Kluyveromyces lactis: one gene and its partner. The protein of the gene in region 1 binds, or shares a complex with, the protein of each later gene. Links are inferred from orthologs where the notes say so. Each region holds a gene or a part of one and is shown in the gene's direction. Other genes may lie near its edges.

Region 1 (2,920 bases):
AATTGCCATTAGTTGGTGGTCACGAAGGTGCTGGTGTCGTTGTTGCTATGGGTGAAAACGTCAAGGGCTGGAAGATTGGTGACTTCGCTGGTATCAAATGGTTGAACGGTTCTTGTATGTCCTGTGAATACTGTGAATTGTCCAACGAATCCAACTGTCCAGAAGCTGACTTGTCCGGTTACACTCACGACGGTTCTTTCCAACAATACGCTACTGCTGATGCCGTTCAAGCTGCCAAGATCCCAGTCGGTACTGACTTGGCTGAAGTTGCTCCAGTGCTATGTGCTGGTGTCACCGTTTACAAGGCCCTAAAATCCGCCAACTTGAAGGCCGGTGACTGGGTCGCCATCTCTGGTGCTGCTGGTGGTCTAGGTTCTCTAGCTGTCCAATACGCCAAGGCCATGGGTTACAGAGTGTTGGGTATCGATGCTGGTGAAGAAAAGGCTAAGTTGTTCAAGGACTTGGGTGGTGAATACTTCATTGATTTCACCAAGTCCAAGAACATCCCAGAAGAAGTCATCGAAGCTACCAAGGGTGGTGCTCACGGTGTCATCAACGTCTCTGTCTCCGAATTCGCTATCGAACAATCTACCAACTACGTCAGATCTAACGGTACCGTCGTATTGGTCGGTCTACCAAGAGACGCCAAGTGTAAGTCCGATGTCTTTAACCAAGTTGTGAAGTCCATCTCCATTGTCGGTTCTTACGTCGGTAACAGAGCTGACACCAGAGAAGCCATTGACTTCTTCTCCAGAGGTCTAGTCAAGGCTCCAATCCACGTCGTTGGTTTGTCCGAACTACCATCCATCTACGAAAAGATGGAAAAGGGTGCTATCGTCGGTAGATACGTCGTCGACACTTCAAAATAATGAAATCTCTTCCGCATTCAAGTCATGACTTTTTTCACCTTTTATATGTTTCCCTCCTCTCTCCGTTTATATAAAACATATCTGATCATTACTTCCCACTTATTCCGCCTGGTGTAGTGCTACTAGATCAATCCAACTTTATAATAAATCATTTTATAGACCTTCAAAATGAGACACGATATAATACTTTAATTCTTTAGCTCTTTTATAATAATTCTTACCACCCAAAAAAAAGGGAACTAATAACACCATTATACCATTACAGTACACATTGCGACCATCACCCTTAAGGTGAATACATCTGACCCCTAAAACAACTGGTACGTTCCAACTAGCTGACCTCTTAAGTACATCGACAATGTTCGCTTCGACCATCACACTGTACGAGTTGAAGTTCCATGTCTAACTCTGTATACATTGTCACTGGGAGCGAGCCAGACACGGATCTGCATTTCTAGATTGAAAAACTGAGAAAGTGAAAAATTTGGAAAGCTCAACCAGAGGTAGAGATAGAGATAGAGACAGACATAAATTAAGCTGAGCAGTCTTTATCTTAGTCGCCTGAGGTCTTTCGTGAGCAGTTTCCACAGGGATAGAAGGGGAGACTAAAACCAAAGATCAGAAAAATGTTCTCACGTTTAACTGGTGTCTCTTTGAGACAGGGTCTTACGGTACAGAAAAGACTATTCTCTTATGCCAGGCCATTGTTTAACAGCTCGGGGTCTGAGAGGACCGGTTCTGGTTCAAGGCAGTACAATGATGGCGCCCGTGCTGGTGCAGAATATGGTTACACAGGGACTAGAATTGTGCCTAAGTTGTCTACTTTTTACTCCGCCAACCCACATCACGAAGCTCATATCGATAACTTAGAAGCGTTGTTGAGGAAATATATCAAATATCCTACCGTCCAAGTGGAAGAAAGGCCTTCCTGGTTGAGTTTGCAAGAGTACGCTCTAATAGGTGGTGGGTCCCGTTTGAAATCTACCCAGTATAAGCAGCTTTTGTTCATGTTGAACCGTTTGAATTCTATTGATCCACAGTTGGTTACCGATGAGATTTCGAACACTTTAGCGAAATACCATAAGAAGACGAAGTTGCAACCTCAAAGAGATACTTTGAAGCAATTAGACGAGTTTGGTAGAAGTTTGGCCATCGGAAGAAGAAAGACCTCTACTGCCAAGGTATATGTGGTTCGTGGTGAAGGTAAGATCTTAGTTAACGACCGTCAATTAAACGATTACTTCGTTAAAATGAAGGACAGAGAATCCGTAATGTATCCATTAAAAGCCATTGACAGTGTTGGCAAATATAACGTCTTTGCAATGGTTTCCGGAGGTGGTATTACGGGGCAAGCCGATGCCTTGATGCATGCAATCGGTAAGGCATTGGTTGCTTTCAACCCACTATTGAAAACTAGATTGCATAGATCCGGTGTCTTGACAAGAGATTACAGACACGTCGAAAGAAAGAAGCCTGGTAAGAGAAAGGCAAGAAAGATGCCTACCTGGGTTAAGCGTTGATCTGATATTAGTCTCTGACCTTTCCATTAAAAAAAACACATGCTTGTTTCACAAGTCCTGTACATATATAGCAATTTTACATAATTTAACAAGCTCCTTTCACCTTTTACTCTGTCGTCCTACGTTAGCATCTCGTAGTTCCATTAGTCGTAGTTTCAAAAAATCTTGTAGATCCTTGTTCTTCCTTGTTCGTAGTAACATATCTTCAGACGTAACAACATTTCTGTTAGCATGTTGGGCAAAAGCTTCCAAATCACCACCAACCTCACATATCTGCTGGTAAACCAGTTCAGTAAGAGTGTTGACATATTTTGAATTGTATTTTACATCTTCTGGTAGTTCTCTTTTGATAATCGATTCCACATAGAACCACAGCTTCCCGCGTAACTGGGATCGTAATCTCTTCTCTTCATCCATATTTGATCAACTGAACGACGCTACCATGAATAGAGCCCACAGGACAATGCCAAGTCAGGAATTGCCAGCTCAAAACTCTAAACGAACTGCTCAATCGATTGTAATCTTGTATAT
Region 2 (2,323 bases), on another chromosome or scaffold:
GTGTATCCTGTCGCATGTTGCGGTTGGGAAAAAGCTCTCTCTTTACTAACAATATATTTTTAACTTTTGCGAACGAAACGTTTGCATGGTTATTTTTTAATTATTAACAGGTTCACCAAGAACCATACGTCTACAAGGCTAGACCAGATGGTGTCAACGTTATCAACGTTGGTAAGACCTGGGAAAAGATTGTTTTGGCTGCCAGAATCATTGCTGCCATTCCAAACCCAGAAGATGTTGTTGCTATCTCTTCCAGAACTTATGGTCAAAGAGCTGTCTTGAAGTACGCTGCTCACACCGGTGCTACTCCAATTGCTGGTAGATTTACCCCAGGTTCTTTCACTAACTACATCACCAGATCTTTCAAGGAACCAAGATTGGTTATCGTTACTGACCCAAGATCCGATGCTCAAGCTATCAAGGAATCTTCTTACGTTAACATCCCAGTCATCGCTTTGACCGATTTGGACTCCCCATCCGAATACGTTGATGTTGCTATCCCATGTAACAACAGAGGTAAGCACTCCATCGGTTTGATCTGGTACTTGTTGGCTAGAGAAGTCCTAAGATTGAGAGGTGCTCTACCAGACAGAACTCAACCATGGGCTATCATGCCAGATTTGTACTTCTACAGAAACCCAGAAGAAATCGAACAACAAACTGCTGAAGAAGAAGCTGTTGCTTCCGGTGAACAAACTGAAGAAGCCGTTGACGCTACTGAAGAACAAACCGAAGCTGCTGAATGGGCTGAAGAAGGTCAAGCTCAAGAAGAAGAATGGAACTAAACTTCAAGAATTCTTTAACTGAATTCCTGGAAGTTATTCCACCTTTTTTTTTGTTTAATTCATCATTCTATAATATAGATTCAATGCTTAGCATACTATCATTGTTATTATTATAGCTTCATGCAACAACTCTCAACCATCCGCTCATATTTTTAACTATTTTTACTAGTTTTTAAAACTCCACATCGTGTATAATTTTAATATCATTATTGATCCAGGCTAGTACCCGATAATTATACAAAGAATTGAATATTATTTAATTGATTGAACGTGCCAACTGAATATTTCCCCTTCAATGGTGCTTCAGTACCCAGTATGGCAATGTGACCCTTCTCGCATCTCTCATCGCTCTTATCCTCATCATGGTGATAATTTCCTGATAATGAAAATTTGAACATTGGAACATTCGAAAAAAAACTGAGCTTGCATAAAATAGAAACCTGCTGCAGAAGTAGTAAGTGAAAGTACCAATAAATAGGTCTTAGGTGTGCTTTAACTCTCAGCGAACTAGTTTGCGGGTTGTTCCATCAGTTATCACTCATATTTTCATATTTTGAGAAATGTCTGTACCCAAATCTAGGCTACTGAAGCTTGCTGAGATATCAGCCAAAGTTTTTGATCAAAATTTCAATCCAACAAATGCCAGAACTGGGTCTAAGATCCTAGCACAGAGGCTTAAAGGACCTGCTATTGCGAATTATTATGGTAACCCAGATTTTATCAGATTCAAGCAATTGAAGAAACTATATCCAGGCATGAACTTCGTTGATGAAGAAGAACAATATAGATTGACTATGCTTGAACTAAGAAAGCGTAGAGGTAAGGGTGCTCCAACTAAGAAGAGAGAGGCCTCTGGTGACGGTAAAAAGACCAAGAAGAGAAAGTGATCAAAATGAGCCCAGCCTATCCTTTTATCCCACTTAAAGGGACTTGCAATTAACATTTCCATCATATAAAAATACCTTGTATATAAATTATATCAGTCAGTTCAAATAGACCCAAGAATTTAACGAATTTCAACTATGTTTTTATTAAATACGAATATTCAAGTAAGATTCAAACTATGCAATCTGTGCCATTAATTGTGGTTGTGAGAGGGGTTTATATCGTATCTTGTTCCATTACCATCTTTAACTTTTTCCATAGTAAATCGATATCAATTGGATGTCTCGGTAGATTATGGTACAAAACACGATAGAGTTCATCTCTTCGTACATTAAGAACTGATCCCTGACTCACCATCTTCAAAGTCTCAACCGAGAACATCTGTCTTTGAATGGATTTCATGACGTTTGTGAATGGTTCAAAGGTCATGAAAAAGCTGATTGGATTATTCGATATTAATAAGTGATCATCATATACTTTGAACTTGATACCACCAGGTAACCTTTTAGCATCTTTTATCCGTAAAAGCAATGCAAATAAAGGGAAATGGTTGATAAGGGCCAAACTTAGTTCAAGCAACACTTTCACTGTAAGGTCAACAAATCTGAACACTGTGTATACCAAATAGAATGAAAATAACGTTGGCAACAAGA

The links.
Region 2: MRPS9 (region 1) and RSM27 share a complex: the UniProt entries of both Saccharomyces cerevisiae proteins name them as parts of the mitochondrial small ribosomal subunit. The link is inferred for Kluyveromyces lactis from reciprocal best matches to the Saccharomyces cerevisiae genes MRPS9 and RSM27.

Annotation. Positions count from the first base shown.
Region 1 is NC_006042.1:1,963,135-1,966,054, forward strand, and holds MRPS9 (mitochondrial 37S ribosomal protein uS9m), read left to right. Parts: upstream 1-1,495; coding exon 1,496-2,389; downstream 2,390-2,920. Other genes in the region: KLLA0_F21010g (zinc-dependent alcohol dehydrogenase), read left to right, coding at 1-869; MHF1 (Mhf1p), read right to left, coding at 2,489-2,806. UniProt on the Saccharomyces cerevisiae protein: Component of the mitochondrial ribosome (mitoribosome), a dedicated translation machinery responsible for the synthesis of mitochondrial genome-encoded proteins, including at least some of the essential transmembrane subunits of the mitochondrial respiratory chain.
Region 2 is NC_006041.1:1,440,246-1,442,568, reverse strand, and holds RSM27 (mitochondrial 37S ribosomal protein mS33), read left to right. Parts: upstream 1-1,345; coding exon 1,346-1,672; downstream 1,673-2,323. Other genes in the region: RPS0A (40S ribosomal protein uS2), read left to right, coding at 111-785; KLLA0_E16149g (uncharacterized protein), read right to left, coding at 1,019-1,183; GPI1 (phosphatidylinositol N-acetylglucosaminyltransferase), read right to left, coding at 1,887-2,323. UniProt on the Saccharomyces cerevisiae protein: Component of the mitochondrial ribosome (mitoribosome), a dedicated translation machinery responsible for the synthesis of mitochondrial genome-encoded proteins, including at least some of the essential transmembrane subunits of the mitochondrial respiratory chain.